Linked DNA regions of Oryzias latipes. The protein of the gene in region 3 purifies or fractionates together with the protein of the main gene of each other region. This does not show direct contact. Links are inferred from orthologs where the notes say so. Each region holds a gene or a part of one and is shown on either strand. Other genes may lie near its edges. The genes, in order: stk26, strn, fgfr1op2 and slmap.

Region 1 (7,754 bases), on a different chromosome or scaffold from region 3:
CACACGTGGTCAGTAAGGAGCCGGTACTCGCACCTTACTCATGACCAGAGTGTGGCGTTACGGGCCCCGTACAACAGCATCACCAGTACAACTCAAGCGTTCGCAACTTCCATTAGCCTTAAGGTGGCCGTACGAGCCCCGGGGGAACTGCAAGACACACCTGTGGTACCCTTAAAGAAAGAAAAGAACAAAATAAAAGTCCCACTATCTGCCACACACCTGCGAAATTTGTTGTCAGCATTTGATCCATCCAGGCACAGCCGCGCTCAGGAACCATTTGGTGGCTCAAACCCTCCCCCCGAATCCAACCCCTTAATGCTGAGTGTCAAGCAGGGCGGCATTGGGTCCCATTTTTAAGGTCTTTGGTATGACTCTGCCTGGATTTGAACCCACGACCTTCCAGTTACAGGGCGGACACTAACCACGAGGCTGAAACTGTCTGTCACAACCCTTTGGGCATAAACGCATCACCATGGGTTGCTTACATTCATTCTGTCAGTATTAGAAAGAATGGGTCAACCACATCTGAGAAACATGTTGATCAATTTTCTGCTTTTCTGTTGAACAAAGCCTGACCGGCTTTTCAGCGTAAAAACTTCATCGGCTGAGGACCTGCAGGAGTTGGACAGACTGAAAACAACATTCAGGCATCTGTTGGGTAAAACGCCTCACAAAGACCCAAACCCAGCCGGCACACCGGCTTCTGTCTCCATAAAGAATGACCTAATCATGACCTTTCCACCACCGTGCTTCAGTTAAAAATAAAGCATTTTTGCCAGAAAAGGGATCAGTGTTTGTTTTACCAAAGATGCTTTTTTTTCACAAGTCTTACTGAAGTATTTCACGTAACAGAATGTAGAAATCTAATAATAATAATAAACTTTATTTTTATAGCATGCATTTAGTCTAACCAGCAGACCCTGGTCACATGACCTCAGGGACCTGCTGGGAGTGTACGGCTGCAAAAGGTCTTGTAACCCTTGTGCTATTCTAGGCACTTTACCATTGGGAGTTGGGTCATCTAGACCCACTAGACAGTCCTCTGAACCTTTTTTCTTCAATGATTTGTGATCTTCACTGGTTTTTCATGGATTACATGAAATCTTTCCACCTTTATCCACCTTTGTCATGGTAGGGAGAACACGTCAATGTAAGGGGGGGTCATCTAAGACAGCACAAGGGTTAAGGTGGACCGGTGCTTGGCTATTGAGAGCTGTGTATGTTGAAACCAGAATTTTAAAATGCACTTGATGGCTGATAGGGAGCCAGTGCAGCTGGATTAACAACGGGGTGACGTGTGAAAACTTGGATGATTTAGTTAAAAGCCTAGCAGCAGCGTTCTGGACAACCTGGAGCCGTTCTAAAGATTCTTTGCTCAAGTATGTGAAGATGGAGAAGCAATAATCAAGACGAGATGAAATAAAAGCGTGGATGAGCAGCTCCAACTCAGAACGTGACACAATTGGACTCAGTTTTGCAATGTTTTTAAGATGATAAAAACAAAAACGTACAAGTGAGTCAAGGGATAAAACCTGGTCTAGAGTTACCCAGAGGTTCCTGACAAACGGCTTGATAAAGGAAGCAAGTGGACTGAACCACTGGACTATCTGGAGGAGGCAACTGTCAGGAACACAGACTAGGACCTCTGTTTTAGCTTCATTTAGTTGGAGAAAATTATCATTCATCAAACTTTTGGCTGAATCCAGACATCTGCGTAAAATCTGTATTTTAAAAACATCCTGCGGTTTAAAAAGACACAGAGCTGAATATCATCAGCATAAAAATGATAAGAAACATCGTTAAAAGAACTTAAAATGCGCTGCAAAGGCAATAGATATAAAATGAACAATAAAGGTCCCAAAACTGAGCCTTGAGGGACACCAGAAGTGAGGGATGTAGAAGAGGACTGAAACTTTGAAAAAACAACAGAAAAAGATCTACCAGTCAGAAAAGAGGAGAACAATTTTAATGAGGAACCAGATAGCCCAACCCAATTTTTTAGCCTGTCCAGGAGGACATAGTGGTCGACAGCGTCAAAGGCTGCGGTCAAGTCCAGTAGCAGTAGCACAGCATTTTCCTGCATCACTCTGTGTCAGGATGTCATTAGTGACTTTGAGAAGGGCTGTTTCAGTGGAGAGAGCTCTGCAAAAACCTGACTGAAACTGATCTAAAATGCCATGACTGTGGAAAGCAGTTGTAAGATGGTTAGCAACAACCTTTTCTGAAATTTTGGACATGAATGGGAGATTAGAAATAGGTCTGTAACTGCTCAAGAGGGAGGAGTCAAGCCCGGGTTTTTTAAGGAGACGAAGGACGACAGCTTTCTTAAAGTGCTCAGGGACTTGACCAGACAGCAAGGACGAGTTAATTATTGACAGGACAGAAGGACCGATGGACTGGAAGACATCTTTGAGCAGAGATGTTGGCAGCACGTCCAGAGAGCAACAGGATGAATTCATTGTGCCAACTAATCTGACTAGCTCAGGCAGAGAAACGGGTGAGAACGTGTCTAAAATCACAGGGCGAGGTGGACTAGGACCAGAACCAGCTGAGTGACACAGAGAGCTTCTCACAGATCTGACTTTGTCAATAAAAGATAATAAAAACGTATCACAATCATCATTTGAATGGATGGGGACAGCAGGTAGATTGGGCATCACGACATCACTAATAGTGTTGAATAGCACTTTAAGATTACCTCTGCTTTTAGAAATGAGAATAGTGAAGTAAGCAGCCCTCACATCTCTAACCGCACTGTTAAAAGAAACTAAAAGATCCTGAAGATGAAGTAAATGAACAGGTAAATGAGTTCTTTTCCACACACGTTCCATTTTTCTGCAAGATCGTCGTCGTTCATCCAAGGGGAAACCTTAGCGACGGGGCCAGTCTGGTTTTAAAGGGACAGACTTCATCTAAAATAGAAAGACAGTAACTATTAAAAGTACGTCACAAAGAATTAACATCTGTGCAAGGAGAGAGGACCAGATTAAAAGCGCTAGAAAAGGCCTCAGCCGAGGAGGAGTTAAGCTAACTTCTCTGTGTGCCAGCAAGAGCGACACAGAAAAAGACAAGTTAAAAAAAAATACTATGATGATCAGAAATAAAAATGTAAAAAGTTTTGCTTTAGTTAAAGATGTTCAAATAGAAATAAAGAGTAAAATGTGAAGTTGAGATTTCTTGTTGCATTGGCCCAAAACAGTAAGAATAATACTGATCAAATATTAGTTTATAAAAAACCTATTTAAGTAAATAAACAACAAACACCAAAAGTTTCACAATCATACATAAATATTTATTCATAAAACTCTAAGTCCCGCTACAAAAAGTATGTTACTGTAAAATCGTACATCTTTCATTTCACGAACTCCCCTTTTCTAGCCGCTCTCGTATCCCTTATAACACATTAAAAAAACAAAAATATACATTGACCAAGTCTTATAGTGTCTTTGGTACAAACTGTCAGCACTGCGTTGACGTACAGCTCCCAACTTCATCCTGAAAGCAGCTTTTGCTACAATTCAGTATGAAGTTTCAAATCAAAGCGTTTTGTTGAAATTCGGCGTTTGGACATTTGACAGCCAACAGCAGAAGTTCCCACGGTTAATGGATTCCAAAATAAAAATAAAACCCTGAAGGCTTTCCGTAGTCTGCAGGTCCATTAAATCACGATAAAAACAAAAACTTGAACATGCACCCAGAAAACGTCGGAAACTTTGTGAAAACTCGATTGAAAGACCCAAAAGAAAAACCGAACAATTGATCAACATCTTTACGTTGTCTGCGTAGTCATTTCTAATTTTGCCAATTACTGCAGAAGCTCAAAGGGGTTTCTAGCGAACATGTTGGTTCGCAAGTGGGCAACGCATGGACTAGTCTGGTTAAGCTAGCCGACTCAAAGCTGAATCAAGAGTTTCCCCGCTAGCCTGTTGGTTAGCAAGCTAGTAATGCATAGACTAGACTGGTTAAGCTAACCGACGCAAAGGTTTCCTAGCTAGCATGTTGTTTAGCAACCAAGTAATGCATAGCCTAGTCTGGTAAAGCTAGTTGAGTCAAAACTGACTCAAAGTTTGGTCTGGATTCACTTTGGGAACATTTTGAAACAGGTTCACCAATTCCTCACCTGTTTTAGCTATCTGCTACGCTAATCTTTAGCCAACACTGAGGAATCTCCTCTGTCACATGTCAAAGTCGAACCCTGTGTTGGCCTTTCAAGGGCCATCCTGACCTGGAAGTAAAAAGTAAAAACAAAAACGACACAAATATGAGATAGAAAGCATTTCAAGTGCTGCTGAACAGACAGACGGACTCCGGGCGAGTCATGACACCAAACTAAAGGCTACAGCTGCTGCAGCAGAAAGAAACCTTTCCGCAAAAATGGATGAACAGAAGATGGAGAAGTTAAGGCACGTCATGTTATTAAGACAACATTATTTTTGGACTGATTTGGATTCAACAGAAAGGTTCCCTCCTCCAGCAGCGAGGAGGAAATAGTGTACATATGACTTTCTTAGTGTGTGCTGAATATTTAAGTCTGAGTGTTGAGAGGGTTCAATGCACAGCAAATCTCCTCTGTTTTCCAGCGGGGCGACGGTATGAAGACAGTCTCTTCCTAATTTCTTTTCCTCTCAACTGGTCTTCAGTTTGTTGTGAATCTGAAGAAAAAGGACACATTTCCAATAAACAACGGTCAAAAGGAAATTTTCTAAAATTTTGACGACTGTTCGGATACAAAAAAAACAAAAAATCCCATTTTAAAAAGCTACAGTGGGGGTTGTACTCTACAATTCCAACCAATGAGAGGAAACTATGGCTGGTGGATGGGGGAGGGGCTTAAAGAGACGGGACCACACATTAAAAGTTAGAGACCAAAGATGAAAAAAATGTTCTTAACAGGCAAGAAAACTCACAAATAACTTGTGAATTTGTTTGTCTGTGAGCTAAAAAGAAGAACAAACAGCGTCTTTCAGTACTGAGTGACGATGGTCATACTTCTGGCACCGGGCGATGATGTGCGTCACCATCTTGTCTGTGATGCCCGGACAGATGTCTTCGGCCAGCTGAATGTTGTGCTCCAGCTGCTCGATGGCCAGTCGTTGCGTCGAATGCTCCTTGTGTTGCTGCTTCAACTACAAGAGGATAAGAAAAAAAAGTCAATCGATTCCTCAGACTATAGCTAGCAGATACATAGCACGGTCAGATAGCTTAAGGCTAGCTAGCTTAACCCTTTAACACCAGAAGATATCAGTGGCAATGCCTAAATAGAACAAGCGCTTTGACAGTTGACGCGTTCAACGTAACTCTAGCGGCTTTGTGCTAAAGAAATAGCAACGTTTACGTTGATTGCGTAAACACTGTATTGCTGTAAAGTGTTGCACATCAGCGTAGAGCTGATTTTTCCTACTTCACAAACTGTTGGAATTACGTTACCTGTGTAAATGGTTGAAGAGTAACATTGTTGAAAAAAATGTTGTTAATTGTTGTGTTAAAAGGGTTAAGGCCAGCCATCTCAAGGCAAGCTAGCTCTAAAGCAGCTAGTTTAATGCCAGTTAGCCTAAGCACAGCTAGCTCTAGGCTAGCTAGCTAAAGGCTAGTTAGCTAAAGGCCAAAAAAGGTTACATCTGATGGGCCTTTAGATTCATGTTGGGTTTTCCAAAATAAACTACATTTTTGTTTTTTTACCAATTGATGGTAATCTGATTTTTGTAAATTGATGACAGTAAATGTGTTGTTTTGAATAACAAGTTATTGATGTGATCTGATAAAATTCAATTCAAAACAATAAAAAGAAAATAAAGTATTTATATTCTACCTTTGGTTGCAGGTTTAAATACAAAGAAAAAGGAAAGGTAAAATGCCAAACTCGATTTATTCTTTCAAATTTTGCCTCAACTATGAATTACATTCATCAGATTAAAGTCTGTTTAACATATTTTGTGTTAATAATAACAGAATACAAAATTAAAGAACAGAAGAAAAAAAGTCGAACAGTGAAAGTGAGTGCACTGAAAAAAATAATAATTCCAGCCACTATAAATTATTATGATTTATTCAGAGCAAAATATTCAAACAGTATTTTTTCAGGACTGCACTATCAAAAAATTAGAGAAAAAGTAAAAGTTAAATAAAAAAAATAAAATGTGATCAAGTGTTTTAAATAATTAGAACTGAATTTGGTTAAAAGACCATTTGTCTTTCAACTAAACTCTTATTTTGACGCTCACCTCAGTGAAGACCGGGGAGATGACCGTGCTCAGGCTGGCAGATTTACTCAGCTGCTCTGGAGTCTGAAGATAAAGAACATTTCTGCTTCAACCCGAATGCCCTAAAACCATCGGAGGATCAGGATGAAGGTTCCCGAGGAACCAGATACTGCGACTAACCGTCCCGTTGAGGACCATCCTGCCTTCTGTCTTCTTCTTCCGGACGGTGGTGAAGGACCACTCAGGATGCATGTCGTTTTCTTTGTTGCTGGACTCACTGCTCACACAAACAAACAGTTGTAGGCGCTGAACCGACATGCAGCAGCAGCAGAAGAAAGCCCTGAAGTCACCTGTCTGAGTCGTCGGAGCTGCTGCCGCTGTGACCTTCCTCCTTCCACCTCCTGTACCTGTCGATCAGCTCGCTCAGGTAAGACGTCTTTTTACAGTGCTTGGTGATGAACTTGTGCTTCAGCAGCTCTTTGGCGGTCGGCCGCTGCAGGACCGTAGAGTGAAGCCAAAGGAGGGGAATTAAAAAAAAAAAAAAAAAGAGGAAATGAGATTTTTTCAAAGTAAGAGGCAAAAAAATATAAAATGATTAAATGTTTGGCCTCAGGTTTATTGATCAAATTAAGGAGATTTAATAATTTCTTCCACTAGGTGGCAGCAAAACACAACAAAACTTTCATGGAGCGGCCTTACGTTTACAGGAGTGCAAAGTAACTAAAAATAAAGTTTCAAAATGTTCCATTTGGTACCAAAGCTCCACATGAAACAAAACTATTTCTGTTTTTTCTTTAATAATAAATGATTAAGTTGTTCTTATAGTTACTTTAAAAACTTCAAAACACCTAAAAATCTTTTTTATCACAACAAAAAGCTGGATATGACTTTAGAAGACGTACAGATATAAATTTGTATCAAGACAAAAGCACGATTTGACCTCCTTAGGATGGAAAAATCATCTATTTGATTGAAAGTAACTTGGATGCGTACAAAGGCCGGGTCTTTGTTGAGGCACGCCTCGGTGAACTCTTTGAAGCTCTTGGAGAAGTCTCCGCTCAGCGTGGGAGGAGGAGACTTGGGGATGTGGAAGAGGACGCGCATGGGATGCATGTCTGAGTTTGGCGGTTCCCCTTTGGCGAGCTCGATGGCCGTGATGCCCAAAGACCAAATGTCTGCCTGTAGAGACACACAGGAGCAGAAAACATCATCATCAGTTTGAAAACCGACCATTCGCTGACGATGCGACTTTAAATGTGTGTTGATCAGACATGAGTCTGTCAGTCAGTCAGATTATATTGGATCAGATTTTTAAAAATGGCAAGACCTGTATGGATTTTAAACATTTTTAACTAGCTATTTATACGCCAAAATGTAGTTCAGTGTCCGACTTTTCCACTTACACCCCCAATCAAGAGATGGCAGCTCAGCACACCAAGACTCTTTCAGCAGCTCAGCACCAGAACCATCTCATGCTAGCATGCTAGCCTAGCGAACATATCGGGTTGTCGGAATTGAATTTTTTGTTTTTAAACTTTACTAAAAAGTTTGGGA
Region 2 (7,716 bases), on a different chromosome or scaffold from region 3:
AAACTGTGAAAATGCGTCTACTTCTGCTAAAGCCTTTTACGGTCTCCAGATTTAAAAAACAATAATAGCCTCTTAAAATGTTTATATTAATGAAAAAGAAATGTTAAAGCTCGAATTCTGCAAAGGACTACAAATGTTTTCTTCTTCTTCTGTTTATTTTGTCAGGAGTTACAGCGCCACTTACTGACACTGGATTAACACGTTATTAACGGCTAAAGCGGCTGCAGCAGTCTTTTCTTCTACAAATAACAAACAAAAACCATCAAACAGAGAGAGACTCCACGCCATGCGGCGGTCATTGTATCACGCATCATTGCGATTTTCATCGTTTCCAATGACAACAATAAATGATTATACAGTGTTGCATTTAGGGGACGTTCTTTAATGTTTCAGAGGTGTAATTCAGTTTAAGGAAGCTCTCCGTTGTTTCCAATACCTGCAGTCACGTGTTTTTTATGCAACAGGATTCAACATTTTTCGTGAAAAGATGGTTAAAAATGTACAAACTTATCGTAGTTCAATCAAGACAGCTTTTCTTTTTTGTATTTTCTGCTGGTTGAAATGTTTTTAAAAAGTTTCTAATGGCCATTTGCTGAACCTCCCAGTGATATTTTTGTTCTTCAAATTGGGAATCCTCGTCAGAAAAAATAAAAACTAGCATCTATCTAAAGCTCGATATGGCGAGTCTATGATGGTGGTTTAAATGAAACGATCTGTGGCTCCTTTGCAGGAAATCTGAGCTGTCTGACCCCAGCGCCGTGCTGGAAGTCTTCAATTTTATTGAGAATGCAGAGGATTTGAGCGATGAAGATGAGGAAGAGGACAGCGAGGGAAAGGGAGTTACCAACGTAGAATCCAGGACGGTGAGGAAGCCACTTTCATCTTTGCATCACGCAGTGGGAGTGCTGTTAGAGAACAGGCTGTGTTGCCTCTAGATCATGAGGAAAAAGCCTCCTCCCTCATCGACCAACATGGACACCAGTGAGGACCCCGACACCAACGCCGTGCTGAAGGTCTTCGACTTCCTGTCCAGACCCGATGAGATTGACACTTCTGAGTCCAGAGGCACCGGCGATGGGACGGACTGGGGTGAGTCACAGACTGACCACGAACACAAACTGATAAATCCAAACCCCTTCAGCGAGAAAAGGATTCATTCCAACTCCGGCCGCTGATCTTTTAAATTTGGGAAGTTTTGACTCATAGTTTGTTGACTGCTGGTGAGGTTCCGTCATTCATGTGTCATTCTGTGCTCATAAGTCATGATGTGTCTGTTTAACACGCAGTTTGTGTTCTCTTCCACTGTATGTTCACAAGTCCAGCCTGTGACACCAACATGTTTCCACTCGTCTGTCGTCAGATCGCCCAGATCCCCTCTGAGCTTCGCTGGTCTTTAGCTGGAGTCAAAACAATCAGCTTGATGTCATGCTGGGTTTAATCTTTGACTTTAGCCACAAAAGACAATTTTATCTCAAAAGCTGAAGTCAGACATTCCCCACCATGACACAAACCTCTCTCAAATCCACCTCCTTCTTTCTGCCAGCAGAAAGAAAACACAGAGGAGGGTCAGGAGAGGCCCGTAGCTCCGCCCTCCTCGTTTATGAAATTGATTTGAATCTGAAAGTCTCAGAGCGTTTGCAGCTCTCTGTCTGCAAGGACCAGGGCAGTTTCTCAACAGCCTGTCGGTCTGGTTTTGTCCCCTTGTGTAGAGAAGAACGAGCAAGGCTCCATTTCTGAGGCCTGGGACGTGGCCCCGGGCCTGATAACCCAGCTCAAGGAACAGTACAAAAAGGATCGCAAGGGGAAAAAGGGGGTTAAGAGTAAGTCCTGCTAGGTATTGCTGCCTCCCTGCTTCTTCTCATTCTGCAGAGCCTAAAGCCTTAGTCACAACTGAACCTGCGGGTGGAGACGGGCTTCCTGCGGGCGAAAAATGGTCAAACCTGTACGGGTGGCACCCGTCAATACCTGCTGCAGTCTGGCCGTTAGACAGGAGGAAAATGGACAGAGTGTAGTTTGTGTGGACATCCCATGAACACTTCTGTATCACCCAGTGTGTGCAGCACTTATGCACAATTAGTAAGGAGACTGTACTGGCACCTTGAATGTGCCGTGACGACACTGTAGGACAGCATCACCTGTAGGTTGTAAGTGTGTGTAACTTACATTATTGCCACACATACACACGACAATGGTACGTCCCGTTTTAATGATGCCCCTTGAGGTCCTTGTACGAGCCTCAAGGAAGCTGCAAGATAAAGAAAATTCTACAAAAACTTTGCATTTCTGAGTATTTCTTTAATCAAATCGTTGTGGAAAAAAAAAGCTGTTTGGAAAAGATTTTTGACGGAAAATTTGCTCGCCGGGCCACAAGCTCCCTGCTCTGCTCCATTCTCAGGCGAAGGGTCTATAGATGCATTCGTTTGGGTTGCTCCACGCCAACTTTCCCGCCCACAACTCTGAAACTCTGTCCTAAATATCGACACGGGTTTCTTTTCTTTTTTCATTTTGGCTAAAAACGGTAAAATCCTGATCAAAAGAGCACTGGGAACACTCTGAAACCCGAAAGCCGAAAGCCTCACAGCACCCGTACAGGTCAAGCCCCCCAGTGTGACTAAGGCTTTACTTTCCTGAGAAACCAGCCTCAAATCCAAATTGGAGCATCTTCACTGTTTTCTCTGAGTTTCTTCTGTCGCCGCTCCTCGTTCTGCTTCTCTGTCCTCTTCACATCTCATTCTTCAGACCTCTCCGGTGCCTTCAAAACCTGCATCTGTGCTCAGGATTTCTTTTGCCCTTTGGTTGACCCTGGTGCATGCCTCATTTCAGTCTTTCATCGCCTTATTCTCATCTTCACGTCATCGTGCTAACCGTGAAAGATCAGACCGCCGTGCCACAGTAGCTCTGTGATTGCCGCCGTGGTCCTCATCGGTCGGCTCGGCTCGCGTGGAGAAGTCGTGTAGCCGCTGATGTTCTGCCGCTCGATAGCAAAATCAGAGCTTTTCCTGTGACCCGCATGGATGACTCATTCAGCAGCCCACAGATTTCACATTTCTGACACCCAGTCTCCGCTCTCCTTCTGCAGCGACTGCTCGTGACATCAACACTCACTTTCTCACCTTCCTTCTACGCTGTTTACACAGCCCCCCCCCCCCAAGAGTGTGTGGTTTTTTTTTTTGTGGGTGTTCGGACGACACCATGTAGAGTTTCTGTTCCTGCGATTTTTGTCTGTTGCAGCTCCTCATAATCCATTTCTGCGCCGTGTTCATACCAGCCGTTAACTGCTGTTATTTATTGCTAAAACTGTTGTTAGATTTAAAAAAAAAATAAGCTGGAATTTACAGTTTTGTGTTGCCAATTGCACCTTTGTTTGTTGAGCATCACAAGGAAACTTTCCTAGGTCTCTGCTGGTTGCTTAGCAACAGCTCTGAGCCGGAGGAAAGTGTGTCAAAAGGACAGACTGAGCGGATCGTAGTTTTTGTCTCACGCACTTCTGAAAGGATGGCAGTTAAAACGTACAGATTCAGGTTTAGACTACAGTGATTCTCCACACCAGCGGCTTTAAAGGCAAATGTACCTTTTGAGTAGGTTTCACTGCTTTTCTTCAAACTTTATCTATTTTTCTTTCTTCCCAGTCCTTCCATCTTTTCATCTTTTTTTCTCTCAGCTTGTTTGCACTCTTTTTCTCTCGTCTCCGTTCTCCATCAGTATGTGTTGGTTCTGTTAACCGGTGTAACCCCACCTGTGAACAGGACCCAACCGATCCAAGCTGCAGGACATGCTGGCCAACCTGAGGGACGGCGAGGACATGCCTCACATGCAGCCTCCGTCCGCCCCGCAGCCCCGACCCAGCGTGCCCCGCTTTAACGAACACGAGGGAAACCGGCCGGATGAAGGTGCCTCAGAAAGACCGCCGCCCCCTTTCTGTTTGAACTTTGGTTATAATCAGGTTTCCTCTCCGCAGTGGAGACCCTTGCTTTCCCGCCCACCTCAGGGACGTTTATTATGGGCGCAGACGAAGCTATGAAGAGCGACCTGGGACTCGGGGAGCTGGCCAGCATCACCGTGGCCAACGAGGTCGAGAGTCTGGCATACGATGTGAGTGAACTGTTCCGGTTTTTCCGGCCCGAATCGTTCACAAGTCTGCGTTTAGCGGGTCAACCAGACAACGGAAAATAGCATCTCTTCAGCCATTTTACCCCTATGAAAGTAACAGTCCACCTGGACCTTTTCTTCTTTATTCATCACATAATATTTTAAATTGTTTTTCAAAATAATTTCATCCCTGACACTATTAGATAAATTGTTACAGATCTAAAATGTTCTAGATCTGTAACCTGAGGCTCTGGAGCCACAAGCAGCTCCTTTATTACTCTATCCTGGCAATATAAAAAATTATAGTTTTAGTTTGTTTGTTTTTGCTAACTTTGTTTTATCATTTATGTACACATTTATGACATCACTGAGAGAAGTGATGGTAAAAAGTTCAGTCTGCTGTCAGAGTGGTTTAAGATTCAACATGTTCTTTTCTTCTGCTGCACAACAGAGTCTAGAGAAGTTCTTAAAGATTCTCTAAAAAATAAATTAAAAAAAGCTGTATTCTACACTGATCTCATCACATTTATATTTGATAGTAAGAGGAGAAAAAGGATGACAGTGATTCGCCAAACTCTCTTGCCTTTGTTTAAACCAAAACTGCTGCAGCAAAAGGATCCTATTTGGCACACAGGATGTGTTTTATTTTGAAAGGATGGTGTATATGCCGGTGTCAAAATAAAAAAGGGAATGAATAAATAAAGTTAAAATAAGTTAAAATTCTCAAATTTGAATGGTGTAAAATAACTCTAAACCCCCCCCAAATGAACTGATTTCATAGATGAAGTGATCCGAAGGTTTTGAGTTGAGGCCCTGATAAAACACTGAGTAGTTAGGAATATGTTTATTTCTGTTTATTTGATTCTATTAAAGGCATTTTGATAAGAATGACGGTATCAGACTGTGGAACAAGTGAACAAAACCATGAAGCTCAGAGACGCTAGTCTGTCTGGCGTTTGGCGGCTGTTTGCACTACATCTCCCATGATGCATTGAGTTAAAGTGACAGTGTCTCAGCGCACAATGAGCCTTTCTTTGTTAAACGTCTTGAAACCACAACGAACACATATAAAACTGTTTTTAAATCTTCTAAATTAACTTTTATTACATCTTTTAGAAAAAACAGCTGCAGCTTCCAGCTTTTTCTGCCACAATTGTCACAAAAATGCATGTGAGATCATGGAGGGGCTGTAAATCAATACAGACTGAGTTTTTCCTTTTTTTTTTCTTTTTTCTTTTTTTTTTTGGATGCCGCTAGGTTTTTGTCAAGGATAAAGTGTGCCGTGGCTCAAAAAAGGTTGAAACACTGGTCTAGATGAACCCGCACAAGTAGTTTTGTTTGTGTAATTGATTTTATTTTTGTTCTGCAGCTTCATGAAGTGCAAATATAAAATACATTAACAGCGGTTAAACTCTCATTTTCTGTTGGTGACGGTGTCAGAGTCCTCTTGCTTTTCGTTTTTGTTTTTTTAGTTATAAACATTTGAAAACACAGAGTGGAAGGAAAAATCTGTTTGTTGTCTGACCTGGATGCTGAGCGTCTCCGCTTTGTTTCTCAGATTGGCAACAATAAGGACGCGATGAGGAAGACGTGGAACCCCAAGTTCACCCTGCGGAGTCATTTCGACGGGATCCGGGCGCTGACGTTCCACCCCGTGGAACCCGTCCTCGTCACGGCTTCGGAGGACCACACGCTCAAGATGTGGAACCTGCAGAAGACGGCTCCCGCCAAGAAGTAATGTGTTCCTGCTTGAACGACTGAAAGGAGCATCTCTGCTTTCGTTTGCCGAGCTTTGGTTTAAAAATCTGTGTTTTCCACCTTCGTGCGTGGAAAGCTCTGCCCACGTGAGTGCTGCTGTTTTCTGTCATAGTAATGAATGCTCTGTCTGCAGGAGCACATCTCTGGACGTGGAACCCGTCTACACCTTCAGGGCACACAGGTAAAAAGCTCATTTTAGTATCCAAGTTCTGAATGTAACAAAGAAAAAACAGCAAACAACAGATTAACTACATTTGAGATCATCTAAGTCATTCCAGACCCCCCCCCCCCCCCCCCCCCCCAAAAGGTCAACTATCTAAGCTGTATTTAGATTATAGAATCAATTAACTGTACAAAGTGTGAACGTGGAAAACGGCGGTTTGAGAAACAAAAAGACTAGAACATCTGCTGTAAGATGAGCAGGAACTGCAGCCAAACAGGGCGGAGCTGCGGTTACAAAAAATGAGGATTGTCATCATCACGTTTAAAAAAAAAAAAGGTATCAGAGCCAGAATGACTGAGGAACAGGTGTTTGTTTCCCTATAGACGTCGTTGGCTACTTGGATCCAGCGGGTACTTCCTGTTTGGAATGTCAGGGGGGGCGGAGCCACTCAGTCCGGTTCTCTTATACAGTGAATGGTCATTGTGCAGACGCATTGAGAGAGCTAGCAGCTGGTTGTTGCTCAGCTTGGGCCTGTGGCGTGTTGATGATGGGGTCACTGGGTGGAGTCCAAACCGACGGGAAGGAGAATCTGATCGTTCTCCTCCTGAAATGTATGATATTTTTCTTATTTGTATGGAGACAAAAGGCCTGGGCTGCTTTGAAAAAACAACAAAAAAACAATAACTCGGTCTGAATTGATCCAAGCTTAGAAGCAGATCAACAATCGATCCATAAAAGAAGAGATCGATCTTTTATGCCTTTCTTTCTCCAGTGACCTAACAGCATAACAGGAGTAAAGCCAAAGTAAGCTAGCTTGATGCTAACGTATAATGGAAATTCCCATAGGACGGCTAATGCTAACGCTTGTTTGACCTAAACACACATTGCTGACTAAACAGCTTTATAAACTCACAGGCAGGAATTTAAGGACACTTTTTTTCTTTCAAAGTAACCATTTTTGGTCTAAAGAACATTTTTTGGCTCAATCTTCTAGAATCAAGTGGAATTCTGCAGCATGAGCTCCACCTAGTGGCCAAACTGAGACGCCCTCTGGGAAAGACAATAATCTGTTATTAATTTTTGTTAGAGCTTCTCCTTATAACACCGTATGCTGTTAACGATCTCTCTGGTTTATATGTTCACTAAAAATATCCACAGTATGTGAACTGTGTCAGATTAATATGGATTTCTTCAAAACACTTCTAGATTGTTGTTGTATTTCCCGACACATACAGTGATCCCTTGCTATAACACGGTTTACTTTTCACGGTTTCGCTACTTCACGGATTTGCATCGTTGCATTGTGTTCTGCATTCTGATTGGCTAAAAAGTCACTCCACTTTTTCTCTACCTGTGCGTCAATAACGTTTCAGTTTAATATGTACACGTATGTAAAACAGCTTGCCAAATTTACAACACGTACGTTCAAATTCTCTTGCAATTTGGAGTTTCTCTAAAACCCATAGAAAAAGAGCGACAACAACTGCCTATCACTATGTTCTTCTCCCGAACAAACACAGCTGCACCGCGGGCTTCAAAAGAAGAAAACACTGCAGAGTGGAGTCAGGATGCAGCGGCTCAGTCTGTAGAGCAGTGAAATACACTTGAGTCACTATTTGTCTGAATGTACTTTGTATTTTTTTCATAATCCTTTTAAAATTTCTCCCGTTTAATGCAATTACTCTCGGGTCGCGGTGGGCGGGGCT
Region 3 (8,385 bases):
GACAGTCGCGCCACCTGGGTCATCCCTCCTCTGAGCAGAGATGATGCTCTGCCTACGTTTGGTACATCAGAGGAGGGATAACTCAGGCGGTGGCAACAGCAGACGCTGTTTTGGAGCAGAAGTGATGCGTCTGGGTGATTCTCTGAAATGAGTGCGCTTTGAGTCCCACACGTTTCCCTCAAAGATTTTCATATCAATTAAGCCACAAAATGCATTTTTAAACAATAAATGGAAGGATCCACGTGTTTCTGCATTACAGCACACTAAAATAGTTTAAAAATTATGTTTTGAAAAATGTCATGTGTTGCTGAGGTGTAAAGGTCAGCCAAATGAGCATGTCCCCACCAACCAAGGGCTACGTTCACACTGCAGGGTTTAATGCTCAATTACGATTTTTTGAAAAAATCTGTTTTTTTTGCAAGGCCGTTCACATTTCCAATTAAATGCGAACTTTTGTGATCTCCTGTGTGAACATGAAATGACCCAGAAGTGACCCGCATGCGCAGAAGAGTTCTCAACGGTGAACGACGACACGCGTCGTTTGCAGAAGTAGTTAACGCTAACAATGGATGTCAACAACAGTGTTGTCAACAGAGGAGCTCTTTTGGCAGTATTAAATTTATTTTCACAAAGGAGCCAGCACAATTACAATCTTATCATTTTAAGAAGGCACTGTGTGTGTAATAAGAGAGAGGAGAGAGCGCGTAGAGCGCCGGAGGGAGTGTGTGTGTGTGGGGGGGGGGATGGGGGGGGGGGGGGCAGCGGAAGTGTGTCGGGTGCGTGCATTCATGTTGTGTGTTACAGAGGAAGGAGAACGATAATAAAAGAAGGCTTCCCCCAGAATAAATGCTATAATTGACTCTTTATTAACCCGCTCTGGAGAATCTGAGGGTCCGAACGGGGAAGTTAATTCCGGAGGAGGATCTTCCTTCAGCCCTGGAGAAGATCCCCCCCCCCTGCTTCCGACCACAGTCGGAAAGAAAAAAAAGTCAGGTGGGAAAGGTTCAACACCACGCTCGGCCATTTTGCTGGAAATATTTTCAAAAACTGCCCGGTTGCGATAAGAGCCCTGGAGTTTGGCCTGAATGGAGCTGTCACCCCAAATATGAATCCAATCGGTGACCTCGCTTCCCTTCCACTGACTGGTCTCAGCAGCATCGTCCGCCATGGTTGATGTTTATCTTCTGGTTCCGCCTACTTCAACGCAGAATTATGACGTTTGAGAACGTATCAATGAGGTACGGGTCGGATTCATGTGGCCTGGCCGTTCAGACGGAGGTCGCATTTGAAAAGATCGGATACGTATTGGATTCAGGACCACATACCCAAGTGGCCTGGTTCACATTTGAAAAGATGGGATCTGTGTCGTTCAGACTGTCATGAAAAGATCAGATACAGGTCGCATGGGGGAAGAAAATCAGAATTGGGTCGTTTCAGCCTGCAGTATGAACGAAGCCAAAGTTACCTTTTCAGCTAATGCAAAACTGATAAAAACAGCCACTAACTACATGCTTTTTCTGCTAACATAAACATATGCCTATTTAGTTTCACTTAAATAAAAGAAGTATGACAAAAATAAATGAATCTTTATGAAATTTCACCGTTTATTCCTGTCCCTCAGTTTTGTTCAACCCGTAACAGCCTATCAATCCCCCTTTAAAAAAAAATAATAGTTCAGTCCAACTTCTTCAGCAGCCAGGAAGTGACATCACTGAATATTTTCCTGCTCATACTCTGAAGACAGGTAAGTATTAGCCTCCTTTCTTACCCATATTTCATAGTTTCTGTTGTCAGATTGACTTTGTCAAGCTCAACCTTTCAACTCTGTTAAATTAATAAATGATATTTACTATTGTTTGGGAAAAAGCTAACGATTGCTTTGAAATATGTATTAAATTCTTGTTTTCCTCATGCCATATGTAGCTTCATATCCTAGCTAATGTAGACACGTGACAACTTCAACCTCGTAATATTCTACTCCGTAACAAAACACACTGTCACAGTGACAAACTTTCTAACAATTTGGGGGATTTCATGTCTAAAGTGGGAAAACATCTTTTCTCAGAGGTTTAAATAGTCCTTAATCTGATGTAATGTTAAGAAACACACATTTTTTAGGTAAGATTTTCAATTACCAATGTGCACCGAATTCAGAGAATGACCCGTCTAGCCCCTGATATCAATCATGTCCCAATATCCAACGGCATCGAAGGCCCACCCCAACGTAAAATGAGGCTGTACTCCGAAAGTGAAAATTCAGAATTGAAACTGTAAACCGAGGACTGAAGGTGAAGAGCAGGCGGCGACCCAGTGGGTCTTTAGAGACAGTCGGCGTCAGACTAACCTTCAGTGGGGTTGGCCGGCTGGTCCTTGTTGATAGCGGTCTGGATGTTGCTGAAGGACGCAGGGGGAGCAAATTGTTGCAAAACACCGATGGCGTTACAAAACTGATCTGCAAGCTGCCCACGCAAAAGCAGAACACACAGTTCAGACCGAGCTGAAGCCGACCTGCACCACACATCCCGAATAGATTCATTTTATGTTTGAAACACAGACAGAAAGGTCAAAACAATCAAGCTTGGATTATAACAAAGCACAGCAGGAAATTCTACTCATTGGAAATGAATGGATATTATATTAAACATTTCATTTTAAAAACATTTTTGGTATAATTGTCTTCCATTATTCTTTATCTGGCTGTATGCAAATATTTCAAGCATTTTCAGCAAGATTTTGGTTTTATTTAAGACGGTTAAAATCTTTCATAGAGAAAAGAGAATTATGAAGTAGTACACTTCTTGTAAGTTAGAATATTTTTAGGTTTTTGCTCCTTCTTCATGTAATCATATGTATTATGCCCTTCAGGCATTTATTTCGAAATGTCATGAAGATTAAGTGTAGGGGTTGGAGTGCCTGAAGTTCAATATTGTCATATGTTATATACATATGTATATCTTTAGTCCATATGCTAGTAAGAAATGTCATCCGGCTGACCTAAACAATAACAGAACGGTTGGCCTGTACCACCACACATCATGATTCCTATAATATTCCAGCTAAATGAGCAAACAAGCTGCTTAGTGCTTTCAGGAGTTTCCTGATAGAGCTACACTAAAGGATGGCTAGCATGCTAAGAACAAATGGGACTCTAACTTTGTTTGACAGCATATTTTGACCGGCAGGATTAGGATAAGTCTCAAAACGAACAATTTATAGGGTAACTTCCTGGTTTGGGTACCTTTTTAAATAATTTCCACTTCCTTTCATGCGTCTTCAACTTTAATTCCAATCTACTTCAGCATTTTGGCAAACAGCTTCAGCAAACACCAAGTAAGTAATGCTATTTATTAAGTTAGCATTAGCATTGTTAGCTGCTGTGATGTTACGCCCTCAGTAAATAAATTAGGAAACAACTTCCATTAAAACCTATATATAATGCACATTTCATATTTAAATGTATATGTGACAGTCTTTCTATATCACAATTTTTGTCAAATATTTAACATTTTTATTTTACCGAGTTGACAGCATCTTGTAGTTGCGTTAGCCGGTCCGCCATATTTACCTGTATTTGACAAAAGTCCGTCGTCAACTATCGCGAGAGCATTGACAAAATCTCGCAGAAATTGACGTCATTTCGGAAGACAAGATAGCTAAAGAAAGTTAGCCCGTCAACAACCTTAAACCTGTTATTTTAGACTTGAATACCATAGAGACTTTTGCGAAATTCATTTTTTGTACTTTAGTATATTTTTTTATGTCTTAAAGAAACAAAGTTTAAGTTTAACGTATAATCCGATATTCGTGTTAGCATAAGCATGATGTTGCTATTCTGAGCTACAACATAAAATATCAGGAAGAAGATCTATTTTCTGGTTGCACTTTGAACTCTTCAGGTAAGACCACTTCAGTGTTAAATTAAGACACCTTTACATGCTTTGGTACACTGTTTATGAGGTACGTTTGTATGTTTTGTTGGAAAATTTGTCAGGATTTAGAGAGCAGCTTCGTTAGTTGTAACTACTTTACTACTACGTAAGCAAAGACATAATTAGCTGTTTGTTTCTGCTTGCTTAATTTTTTTGTCATAAGAAAGTATATTTCATGATCATAAATCTCCTGCAGTTCGACATCCTCTTTTTTCCCCTTTTAAACTGTGACACATTCGTTAACATCCTGCTTTAGTGGGTGAGCAGGAGGGTCATACCCGGTAAAGTTACATTGTTTGGTGGTGGCAGTGTGATGGTATGGGGCAGCATCTCCTGCTCGTTATTACTGGAGGAAATCTTGATGTAGAAGTTATACATCGAATTCTGCTAAAATAAATATTTAGTGTGTTTTTAAACCTGAATTACCCAAACACGACATTGGCAAAATTAGATGCTTAGCAGCGAATGTTCAACCAGTCATGATGGGTGCATTTCATAAACGGAGCTACGTATTCCCTTAAACTCTAAACAAAGATTTAAGATAAGTATTGTAACTAAAAAGTAATCTGCTTAAAACCAATTTCCCTGCTTTTTGTACTGTTTACATCACTTTCTATCATTTAACTTTCCATCTTAAATCTGTAAGACGCTGAGTATCTTAACGCTAATGTGTAAGTAAATGAAAAATGCAGGGATCTACTACTCTTTACTTCCAGATGTTCATTACTCACCACAGTAATTAGGTTTTTATCTCACTAAAACTGAACAAACAGAAAGCAAAAGAGTAAAACAGTTTTATGAAGGAAATTGCCCAATTTGTTATATTACTTACAGACTTGAACTCGATGTTTTTTTTCTTCTTAAGTTTTCACATTTCTTTAAAACCAGATTGATATTTTCTAAAAAATGTCCTGCTCATCGATTTTACTTTAATGTTTTCCCCTTTAGACATGAACTGTACGTTAGAGAAAGTCCTGGCAGATGCTAAGTCCTTGGTAGAAAGGCTCCGTAACCATGACAACGTAGCCGAGATGTTAATCGAACAGACAACATCTCTCAACAAGAGGGTAGAAGCCATGAAACAGGTAAGATTCTGCTTGGATTTTGATGTTTTATTTTATTTTATTTTAAATATTTTCCTCATGAGCCGACTGACGTCCTGCCCAGGATGAACCGTGCCTCCGTCCAACAGCTGCAGGGATAGGCTCCAGCAACCCTGAGACCCCAAAAGGGATACAAGAAAATGGATGAATAGATTGATTTTCCTCCTGAAAGCAAAGTTAACTGTACTAAAGCTTTTTGACCACTGGGGGGCAGCATCCTTTTTAGAAAAGTGTGATGTAAATTTTCTCTTTTTTGTTTTATTTCTGCTGTGAGAAACTAGAGAGCTTAGTGCCTGATCAAATCATGAGTTAGATTGAAGGAAACATTTATTTTAAAGTCAATATATTAAACTAATATTGAAACAGAAAAACAAAAAAGTATTTCTTTCTCTGTTAAACCAGATGTGAAGTATCATTCTGTGTTTGCAGTACCAGGAGGAGATTGATGGACTAAACCAGGTCGCACGACATCGGCCTCGTTCCAGTCTGGTGTTAGGAATCCAGCAGGAGAACCGTCAGATCCGAGAGCTGCAGCAGGAAAACAAAGGTGGCTGTTTGTCCGTTGGTTTGTCGGGAAGTGTCTGTGGCTCAGAACCTTTTATTTGTTCTTCCACTTTACCTTGATAAAGCACCAAACCAGTGAGTGTTTGTCATGCAGAGCTACGAACATCTTTAGAGGAGCATCAGTCTGCGTTGGAACTCATCATGACCAAATACAGGGAGCAGGTTTTTAGGCTCCTCATGGCCAGCAAGAGGGACGACCCCACCATCGTCACCCAGCTGAAGGAGCAGCACACAACGGTGAGAGGAAGGAGCGCCCTGCTCCTTTGATGAAGCAGGTCAAAGGTTATCAGCAATATGCCCAAAAAAACAAAATCTCCCATTTTTTGGCACCAAATTTGATTCCTTATTTGAACCCAAAAGGACATAAATCCAACAAAAACCGTTTCATTTTAACGTCTCCTTAGGAAGATGGCCTAAATTTAGAAGGGCAACTAAATCCAAGCTGTGAAAATGTTTGTAGATCAGTGCGGCAGGTGTTTTGCCGTTAGCCTGAAGAGAAACATCTTCTCGCACTCGACAGCTTCAGGCGTTGAATGTTGTTAGCAACAGCCTTCAAACTGGTTTTGCACACATGGGGTTTGATGCCTGAAGTCCCAAAACTAAACCAGTTTCATAGACCTGAAGAAACGGTTTCTGTTTTGGGAACAAGCTAGTTAACATTTTAACGAGAAACGGGGGCAAAAGCTGAACTTTACCCCGGACAGCGGAAGCCAAAGTGAGCAGGATGCTGAGAAAATTCAGAATCCAGGTTTATTCCCCCCAAAAAAATCTTTTTAAACCCCAAATTTAAGGTAATACGTTTATTGCCCAGCCCTGATGTCGTGTGTTTGTTTGGATCAAATATTCGAGCTTTTTGAGTTTTCCTCATTTCTTCTCTGTGTTTGTAGGAAATGCAGGCACACATAGACAAGATCAACGAGATGGCCTCTGTGATGCGGAAGGCGATAGAGGTGGACGAGGAGCGCGTTTGTGAGGACGAAGAGAGGATTAAACAATTAGAGGTAACCTGAAGGCTTGTATATAAATGCATTTATTCGTTACCTTGACAGCAGGTTGGGTTAGGTAGTAACAGGTTATTTTTATCCATTTGGACTTTTATAAAGTGAGTTCTTTACTTTTTCTGAGTGGTTTCTTACTCAGGAACATTGGGCTACTTTTGTCAATGAGTTTGGAAATCTGGTGAGTGGACTCATGGGTAAATTCACCTACCTTTGTTGTGTCCAACTCCCTCACTACCACATAGTGCATTTGCTATATTTTTCTACAGTTCCAATATCCAGTGCCTTGAAATTTCCCAGAAGTCTCTGTAAAAAAATCTAGTGTACTGATGCGTACTAGTTTGGAGAATTCAGACCACAATGCATTGCATTTGAATTATTTGTCATTTGAAAAAAAAAAAATTTTGAATTTCTTTTAATAAATCCTTCAAGCTCATCTTCAGAACACAGTGGATTCATGAATAGTTCTCATCAAATGTTCACATTTATTAGGTTTTTATGGCGGCAAACGGGTTACCGTTTAAAAAATGCTGGTCAATATGGCCGCCGGACTTTCAATGTCACTTCAGCAGTTCCGAATCCAAAGGGTGGCGTCAGAGTTTATCCGTCCCGTCTTCATATGTCTCTAATAGCAAAGCCTAAAGAAGTTTATATGTGTCCAAAACATTTGCATTAAGTCTTTAGAAACTGCATTGAAGCAACCTTTGAACACAGAAAAAGGGTTTTAGTGTTTTTTCCAGCATGTTGCAGAGGGATGCTGCCAACAGGAGACAGCAGAAGTCCAAACCAACAACATTTCTGGTTCTGGTTCTGGTTCTGGGTTTGTGTCGGTGGATGAAATCTGCTCTCTGTAACTGGAAACCGTAGCTGGTGTTTCCCCTTAAAGCCTGAGCAATTGAATAATGTAGAGAATTAAGAGGAGAATATCTACTATTATTTTTTTAATATTCTTAATCTTTGTTTAGCTAGGATGTTCTCATTTACATGAAAATCTTTTTAGCAAAGAAGTTCTGGTCAAGTCTGTTTAAATCATTAGCACAATGGAAACATGATAAAAAAATAGTGCTGTCATACAATTTAATTATTTTGTGGAATTAATCAATTCTGACCTGTAGTTCAAAAATCCTCATTTTGAGGTATTTTCATTGAAAGTTGTGACATTGTGGCGCAGTAAGACATCAAAATCCAACCCAAAAACTGGCTTTCTGAACTTTTCTTCTATAGTAACTGACATTTTCTGTTGTTTTTTTTTTTAATAACCTTTCCTCTACAGCAGCTGAGCAAAGCAAACGATTTCAGACTTTCAGTTCTTACTTTAACACCACTGAGGGGGATTCTGGAGGGCTCTCATCAAAAACATAAATAAAAACAGTAGGAAGACTTTCCTGAGCAATCCCAAAAATAATGAACACAAACCTTTTAGATATACCACCATACATGTGTTGATAGACCTTATTCAGCAGTTTATCCCAACACATAGACAGTAGAAAATACATGAGCAGGGCTCCAGACTAACTTTTTTCACTAGGAGCACAGTGGCCCCAACTGAAAATTTTAGGGGCAAAACCAGAAAATTTAGGGGCGCATACCGTAAATCAACATGCTAACCAATTCTACTAATTTCCACTGTATTACTAATAAATACTTTAATAATAGATGCAGAGATTACAATGTGCTGTTTCTAATTCAGTGTCACATTTTAATCTGCACTTTTGAAGATGCAACAAGAAGGTAAACTGACAAAAGCATCGCTGTCATGACAGTACAAATACTAAACAAAACAGATGGAAA
Region 4 (7,716 bases), on a different chromosome or scaffold from region 3:
CTCCTCTCCTCCTCCAGCAGAGCTGCAAGCAGAACATCCCATCTCAGCCCAAACACGTGTGTCATTCTGCTCCACGGCACAGAGTGATTTCTGCCTGAAAGCTCTCGTCCTCTTCCAACAGAAGGTTCCCAGCAGAACTAGACGCTGGCGTGCGATTGGTCAGAAACAAAAAGGTTTCTAGTGTGAAAAGCATAGCGGTGCGTCTGTGTGTGTGAAGATTTAGGAGCCAACGTCCTCAGAAAAACTGCTTTGCATTTCCTCTGCTGACCCGAGAAGTTTTGAACCAACAACCAACCTTCCTCTAACTCCTTTACAATCCTATAGCTAAGTGCACGTGTGCTGCAGAGGGGAGGGGGGGTTGGACGGCTGCTCCTCTTTTACCTTGTAGCTCCTGACATTTCTGCTTCCCGGTGTTGGCGAGCTCCTGGGCCTGTAGGAGCTCCCTGTGGAGGTGGTGGATGACCTGCTCCGTGTCTGCAGACTCCAAACCGGCTGGACTCGAGTCTGCAGCAGAGCAACAGCTTTCAGCAAATCCTCACCTCCCTGAAGGATGGAGCCAACAGCAGCAGCAGCAGCACTGTGCTGAACCGGAGAGGCGGTGAGCAGTTGCCATGGTTACCTTTGAGCAGAGCTCCTGTGTTCCGCGGCTCGTTCAGTTCCTGGTCGTCCATGTTTCCGTCTGAAACAGGAGGTCAGAAATACTGTTGTGGTCTGGATTTCCTGTAGGAGCTGAAGGTCAGAACGTTAACGGAGACGCTGACCTGACGTGTCGTCGCTGCTGCGGTCTTTGCTGGGACTCAGCGTGTCCGACATGTCGGACTCCTTGGCATCTACCTGGTTCCCTGTGGAGACGGACAGATGAGCGCGGAGTCACGACCTGCATCAAACACAAGGCCGTCCTCCTCTGAGGGGGAGCTGATGGCGGTGAGCGCCCCCCCTACCTTTGAGTCGGTCAGGGCTGCTCAGTGTGTCGCCTCCTGCAGTCTGGTTGTTCTGAAGGTGGGCGTCCATGACTTCTACAAACATCCAGGTGTTTCAGTTCTCCTCAGGGACACCAGCACAGTCAAATCTTCAGATTCCGTTCTTACCGTCAAAGTTGGCCAGTTTGTGGATTGAAGAACTGACCGTGTCCTTCAGCTGCCTGACAGCTGCAGGGAAACAAGAGGAACAACAGCAAAAGGTGGATTAAAAGTCCAACAGTTTGTAAAGATTCAAAAAACAGTTTTTACTGTAATGGATCAACATTTGCCGAAAAGAGCAGAAAAACACACAGCAGACATGCATCGCTGCGAGTCTGATAAAGTCAGAGGTTAGAGGTCAAGGCCAGACGCTCTGGAGTGTCCATCATCGACATCTGATCCAGAAACAGTCCTGGTTTCAGATCAGCTGAAGGAAAAATCGGATTCAGCCTCAGAAGGAGCTCAAAGGAGGGAAACAAAGAAAACTAAGTCATGCAATTTACTTATGACCCTAATGTTTTGACTTTGCATTATTGACTGCACCTACCCCACCCCCCTCTTCCCCATTCTAACCCCTTGTCCCCCCCCATCTCTAAAATCCTGCTCCATTTCCTTCTCTACCTTTTTCCTCTGTCTGGTCCAACAAGGAATACACATAAATATAATTATCATAAATAAAGCTTAGCCTCAATTACAAAAGGGGTTTATACAAATATACTCCATTTGTCTGAAGACCCATAAACCCCTGATGTAACAGTAAAATCTGTCCAACACACGAGGCCTTCAGCTCTGATCTGCTTCCTCAGCTGTTGGACAGGACAAGTTTAGAAGAAAAAAAGAGGGAAATAAAGACCAGAATGGGTTTTTTTTATGGTCAGACCCTGAAAGAATGACGAGGCGGTTCAGACGGAGCCTCAGCTCCATGCAGAACTCAGGTTGGTCAGTCTAAGGATCCGACTAAAGCCTTAGACACAGCTTTCATTTTCTTCACCCCCCAGGATCCAGACTGGAGCAGCTGGAGGAGGCCGTTAGTGCGTTTACGTGCACGCTCCTTGCTGCAGCCCGACTATGACTGAGGCTCGAAACTGACCATTAAAAAAACAGAATGCGAATCCTGGAAAAGATGTCAGATCTTTGAAGAACAAACTCGACCTTTCCCCCCCCACAGTTACGGTCATCTTCTGACCGCCGGCGAAAGACGGCGTCAGACAGAGATGCATTCAGGAACAGCAGGTTGTACTCACGCTGACACTCAATCAACTGTTGGATTCTAGTGGATTCTCCTCCGCTGTTGTTGACATGACAGTTGTCTGACAGAAACACAGAGAACTGGCGTTACGACTCTGCCTTTGACGTTTTTGATTCTGCTCATCGACACCAGCCTGAGTTTGAACAAAGTTCAGCTCAAACAGTTTATTATCGTTTAGTCTTATTTCCTCCTCTGGTTCCTTCCAATGTGGTGAAGCTTAAAGCTGGACGTCCATAAATCAAGCAGACAAACCAGGTTTCCTTGATTTGGATCAGCAGAATCAAAAAGCTGCGTTTGCTCCTAACTTAACGTCCGGTAAGAAGACGGCAGGGAAGGCCTGAGACGGACACAGAGGAAGCAGGCAGACGTGTCACAGACCAGAACAACAGGACAGGTGAAGGATGGAGTCAAACACGCTGCTATGCAACACCCCACCAAGCATCAGCAGGTGAGAAACAGCAGCAAGATGGAGACGGAACAACATCAGAGCCGAAGGAAACTCAAACTGCACCAGATCTCAGAGCTGCTGCACCCAATGAGTGAACGGAAGATGCTGACGGGAAGATGATGTTGCAGACGGCACAATAAAACGGGTTAGAAATGACAACTGTGAGAGAGTAAAGCTCCTAACCCGAGAAGAAACTGAGACCCAACATGGACTTCATTCCAAAGCAGGACTAGATTGATGTGAAAGCTGAAATGGAAAAACCCAGGAGCTGAAGGAGCCGTTGGTGTTCTCCTAAACCTTGAGATGGAAACTGACCGAACAACAAACTGCAGCAGATGATGCTCAGAAAACGAGCGATCCACATTTGTAAAGATTTTGGACCAAACCTTCAAAGATGCCGCAGCACAAAGTTTTAAACCAGCATCGGACGAAGGACAATTACGAGGTTTCATTCAAGCTGATCTAAAGATCAACAACAGACGGATGAGACTCGACAGCGGCGGAGAGAAGACACCAAACCTTCTCGGGTCAGAGGTCGGTTCATGGTGTAGAGAAACATCTACAAACCCGCTCTCCCTTTCCAACATTGGTTTGAACCTGAAGAAACATCAGTGAACTCTCCTCCAGGACGCATGTGAGGAGACTGCAGCGGCTGCAGCGGCGCAGACCGCATCGCGAGTGTGTGAGGCGGCTGAAAGCAGGTTCAGCCACACACACACAGAGTTTCCAGTCGAGACGCTGCGTTTACGTCTCATTTCACCAGAGACAGCTCAGAACGTGGGACACTGATGCGTGAAGCAGGCCACAGCGCTGCAGACCAGTTATCTGGAGACGTGCTCCTCAGACGGACCAGAAAAGTGGCTCCCAGATGGATCTGGATCCAGCATTTCAGTTCTTGCACATGTCCTGATCGAGGAAGACCTGGTCTCAGGCCAGACGCGTTCTGAGGTTTCAGCTCTGCATCGAACAAACATTTGATCGTCTGTCTTTGGGAAGAAGAAATTAAGGAAACAGTTGAGATAGACTACCAATAACATCTTCATCTTCGTGAACTGCCCCCTCCTCGGTGTCTGTATCCGGCTCATCGTGGTCTTCGTCCGCTAGGTCTTCCACGGGCTCCCCTGCAGCTCCGGGAGGGACGAGGGCCACCTCTGTCATGTGACCAGATCAGATATACACATGGAACCTTCATCAGCCAGACATGCAGAAGACAGACTGTGAAGCCCGTTGATGAAGAAGAGCGAGACCTTCAGGACTCCTTTAGTGCAGAAATCAGTGTCCTCAAGCTCCTCCCCCCGGAAAAAGGAACCAAAGCAGTGATCGGTTTGGAAAAGCTCTGAATTAACCAAGAAGCCCAAAATTCACCTGACAGAACCGCCAGAACAAAGCCCAGAAAAACACACCAGCTCCTTATGAAACCAGACGGGTCCAGGTCAGAACCAGGACCTGCAGCTAGCATCCTAGCATCCTAGCATAGCGCATAGCGATGCGACTGGGCGTTCCACAGAGAACCCACAGTCATTCTAACAGACAGGAACACGAAGCAGGAACTCATGAAGGAATGAAATCCACCTCAGGAGTGATCATTTTCTGTGTTTACGTCCGTTTTTCTGGAGCACAGAGGACATTTTTACTCTTTTAAATGTAAAATTAAAGGATTTTTGATGTTTTTATGGACTTTATTGCTTTAAGACTTCTGTCACAACACCCAGAGCCAGAAGAACAAAGTTAAAGAGAAAACTATAAAATCTCTTATGCTTTGGGTAAATTGACCCATTTTGAAAGGAAAAACAAACAATTGTTACACTTTGAATCTATTCCAGTTTGTCATATTTAAGGTGACGTCAGCATTTTATAAAATACAATGGTTCAGTTACTGCCTTTGTAATTGAGACAGAAACAAACATCAGTTTGTCACAACAGGAGGTTTAAGTGTAACGCTAATAGACCAACGATTAAATGAATTAAACTAAGTACATAAAACATCTAAATTAGATAATATAGAGTGGAAACTGTTGGGTCGCTTCACCGTCAGCAGCAGCTCTAGTGCAGGTATTTCTGATGCAGGTCATTCAGGAGGAAATAGATAAACTTTCCCTCAGCTGGATTCACATTGTGTGACATTTCCGCCTTAAACTACAAGTTAATTAGGTAATTAAAATGGAAAAAAATCTTTTTGCGTTTATGGACAACAATACAATGTTGTGTGAATGAGTCAACCACTGAAAGATCATAAAAAAAACTCAACGAGGAGAAAAGAGCGACAGCAGGAAGTGCACAGACAGACCATGCAGGACGTTTCATGCATCGTTAGTGCAGCTCAGGCTGATTAACCCCACAGACACAGCAGTCCCAGAGCGGACCAGCGGGACGTGGACTCACCCAGACTGTTGTTTTCTTTACCGCTTTTCTCCTGCAGCTGCTCTAACCGCGCTGTAAACAACAACAACAACAACAGCAGAAAGAGAACGTTCAGCTGGACCTGCAGCAGCTCCAGTCGGCCTTCTGCGAGGAACCGACAGCTGAGGTGGAACCGAACAAAGGCGTCGGCTCGGTCCTCCGTTTATATGCAATGAAGCAGCAGTGGAAGGCTTCAGGGAGCAAACGGCGTTTAGACGTGACCCAGACGTACCCTGAAGAGCAGCAAGTCTCTCGTTGGTGAAGTCGTTGTCTGCCTGCAGAGCTTCGATGCGAGCCTGGAGAACCTGCTCCTTCTCCTCCATCTCCTCTATCTTCATTTCCAGCTCCCTCTTCTCCGTCTCTCCTCGTTGGGTCAGCTCCTCCTGCCGGCCCTCCGCCACCTAAAGGAAAGAAGACGATCGGGTGTTACTGCACAAATGTAGAGGGGCGGGAATCGAACCTTTCAGAGTAAACGCACAAGGCCTCACCTTGATTTTGTCGGTGAGCTCTTTTATTTCGTTGACAGCGGCGTTGTACTTATTGGCGAGCTCCCTCAGCTCCTCCTGACCCCTCTCAGACATCTCCTTCAGGTGGGTGCACTCATCTTCCGTGTTGCTGAGCGAGCGCTGCAGAGGAGATCACGCGTTGGGTTCACCGGTACTGAATCCATCAGCCTGAAGGGACAAACAACTCCTCAAAGGGTCCCACCTCCACTTCGGAGAGCTTCCTGACCACCTCGATCTTCTCCTGCAGGACTCTCCTCAGAGACTCCTTGGCCGTCGTCTCATAGTTGTGTTTGTCCTCCTGAAGAGCCAAAAGCTCTTTCCGCATCCCCTCCTCCGTCTGGGACTGCAGGAGTTCCAGACATGAATGAGAACTTCTGTGCCTCACCTTTTTACAGAGGAGAACCTGAGAAGGTGACTTTACCTTGGAGTAGGCCTGTAGCTGACTCCCCATCACCTCCAGTCTGGAAAGCAGACGGTCCTCATCTATCAGAGCCTGAAGGAGACCAGAGTCACGTTAGTCATAATTCAGATCTTCAAATTCTATCCAAAGCTTCAGTTTCTCCATGAGTATAAGCCCCATGGCCACCGTTATCTCCTGCTAACATCTGCAGTGAACCCCTCAGCGCAGGTCTACAAATGTTCAGGACAACAGAAGACGAGGTCTCCTACCTGCCAGCTGCTCTCGGAGGCCTCCTGGGTGTTGGCTAACAGACGCTGCAGCGTGGCTAACTTCTGCTCCAGCATCTGCTCTCGGTGTAAGGCCTCCTGCAGAAACCAGACACGGGAACTGCATTCATTCATCATCCACGGCGTTTTTTTAAAGAGAGTCAGAGTTTAGGAATTTCCTCTGAGGGTTCAAACCTCTGGAGTTTCTGAATCAATATTTCAACTTGAACATCATAAAGATTGAACCGCGTGTAGAAATCTGCTGTATTATCAGTAGAACACACATTTCTGGTTCAAAGCATTTAAACTAAAGTTTGTTTGCTGTGAATAGTCTAACCGTTTCTGATCATTTCTGGTTACTCAATTTGAATTTTTCAATCCAGACAAAGTAGGTTTTTAAGTCTGCTTCTTTAAAATAATCTAATATGAGGACTTTTTCTAACCGCTTTATCGTGTGAATATAATATTTTGCCAAAATGATGATTTATTACACAAAGTTGACTCGAAAGGAAGATTTAAAGTGAAAGGAGTTGATCAAAGAACATCTATTTATCGTTTCAGTTGTAGTTCCCAAGCTTGGCCAGCAGGGGGCAGTGCTTTACCTGTAGATACTGGGAGAGTTGGAAGAGTTCCTGAGAGTACATGCTGGGAGTGTTGGCCGAAACCTGCAAAAAAAAAAAAAAAAAAAAAAAAAACACACCACAGAGCATCAAAGGAGTGTTTAAAAAGAAAGAGCAGGAACGAATATTTAGGAGAACAGCCACAAAAGAGGAAATCAATCATTTGAACAGTTCAACTTCTAAAAGCTTTAAATGTAACCAAACTGATCCAGAAACACAAACAGACCAACACGTTATTACTCTTTGCATCACTTGAAATGAGGCGACTTTGATAAAAACGATTGGTAATAATCTCCGCATTTAGAGGAAAGTATGTGAATACCGGTTAGTAAACGGCGTGTTGCCGTGGGAAGTGGGTGAACGTCGCTTCATGATCAAACTTTTGATTCATTAAATGGTAAATGGCGTATACTTGTTTAGCGCTTTCTACCCTCTTTCAAAGGCCCAAAGCGCTTTACAGTCACATTCACACACTGATGGCGGCTCCGCTGCCGAACACTGGCGCCAACCTCCCACCAGAGGCAAGGTGGGGTTCAGTGTCTTGCCCAAGGACACTTCGACACATGGGCGTGCAAGGCGGGAATCGAACCTGCAATATTACGATCATGGGTTGACCGCCCTACCACGGCCGACCTTCGTTCATCGACCAAACATGCTGGACTCGGTTCCGAATGACATCAGTCTGCTTTCCTCTACAGGTTTGTGCAGCATCAACCATCAGTAAGTGGATGGTAGGTGGAGCGTGCCGCCGCCGCCGCATGATCTCACTCAGGACCGTTAATGATATTAGAAGAGCGGCTCAAATCTAAACACAGCAGAAAGACGCTGGAGTCGCTCCTGAAGGCAGAACAGACCCTCCTGGAAGAAG

The links.
Region 1: the proteins of fgfr1op2 (region 3) and stk26 purify together in Homo sapiens (affinity purification with mass spectrometry; 4 studies listed by BioGRID and IntAct, with this or other methods). This does not show direct contact. The link is inferred for Oryzias latipes from reciprocal best matches to the Homo sapiens genes FGFR1OP2 and STK26.
Region 2: the proteins of fgfr1op2 (region 3) and strn purify together in Homo sapiens (affinity purification with mass spectrometry; 4 studies listed by BioGRID and IntAct, with this or other methods). This does not show direct contact. The link is inferred for Oryzias latipes from reciprocal best matches to the Homo sapiens genes FGFR1OP2 and STRN.
Region 4: the proteins of fgfr1op2 (region 3) and slmap purify together in Homo sapiens (affinity purification with mass spectrometry; 3 studies listed by BioGRID and IntAct, with this or other methods). This does not show direct contact. The link is inferred for Oryzias latipes from reciprocal best matches to the Homo sapiens genes FGFR1OP2 and SLMAP.

The regions. Positions count from the first base shown.
Region 1 is NC_019876.2:4,684,641-4,692,394, forward strand, and holds the end of stk26 (serine/threonine-protein kinase 26), read right to left. Parts: intron 7,380-7,754; coding exon 7,194-7,379; intron 6,694-7,193; coding exon 6,551-6,693; intron 6,478-6,550; coding exon 6,381-6,477; intron 6,285-6,380; coding exon 6,222-6,284; intron 5,127-6,221; coding exon 4,990-5,126; intron 4,653-4,989; coding exon 4,637-4,652; 3' UTR 3,271-4,636; downstream 1-3,270. UniProt on the Homo sapiens protein: Serine/threonine-protein kinase that acts as a mediator of cell growth. Modulates apoptosis. In association with STK24 negatively regulates Golgi reorientation in polarized cell migration upon RHO activation.
Region 2 is NC_019873.2:28,013,250-28,020,965, reverse strand, and holds part of strn (striatin), read left to right. Parts: intron 1-730; coding exon 731-863; intron 864-935; coding exon 936-1,089; intron 1,090-1,709; coding exon 1,710-1,820; intron 1,821-3,746; coding exon 3,747-3,890; intron 3,891-3,958; coding exon 3,959-4,092; intron 4,093-5,647; coding exon 5,648-5,823; intron 5,824-5,980; coding exon 5,981-6,028; intron 6,029-7,716. UniProt on the Homo sapiens protein: Calmodulin-binding scaffolding protein which is the center of the striatin-interacting phosphatase and kinase (STRIPAK) complexes.
Region 3 is NC_019881.2:3,908,169-3,916,553, forward strand, and holds the start of fgfr1op2 (FGFR1 oncogene partner 2), read left to right. Parts: upstream 1-3,606; 5' UTR 3,607-3,896; intron 3,897-4,877; 5' UTR 4,878-4,879; coding exon 4,880-5,014; intron 5,015-5,461; coding exon 5,462-5,579; intron 5,580-5,690; coding exon 5,691-5,833; intron 5,834-6,483; coding exon 6,484-6,597; intron 6,598-8,385. Other genes in the region: med21 (mediator of RNA polymerase II transcription subunit 21), read right to left, coding at 2,345-2,459, 3,518-3,559. UniProt on the Homo sapiens protein: May be involved in wound healing pathway.
Region 4 is NC_019863.2:32,506,345-32,514,060, forward strand, and holds part of slmap (sarcolemmal membrane-associated protein), read right to left. Parts: intron 6,894-7,716; coding exon 6,831-6,893; intron 6,328-6,830; coding exon 6,232-6,327; intron 6,056-6,231; coding exon 5,984-6,055; intron 5,906-5,983; coding exon 5,765-5,905; intron 5,683-5,764; coding exon 5,545-5,682; intron 5,458-5,544; coding exon 5,289-5,457; intron 5,090-5,288; coding exon 5,039-5,089; intron 3,808-5,038; coding exon 3,685-3,807; intron 2,270-3,684; coding exon 2,204-2,269; intron 1,149-2,203; coding exon 1,089-1,148; intron 1,017-1,088; coding exon 942-1,016; intron 843-941; coding exon 762-842; intron 680-761; coding exon 620-679; intron 505-619; coding exon 382-504; intron 23-381; coding exon 1-22. UniProt on the Homo sapiens protein: Associates with the striatin-interacting phosphatase and kinase (STRIPAK) core complex, forming the extended (SIKE1:SLMAP)STRIPAK complex.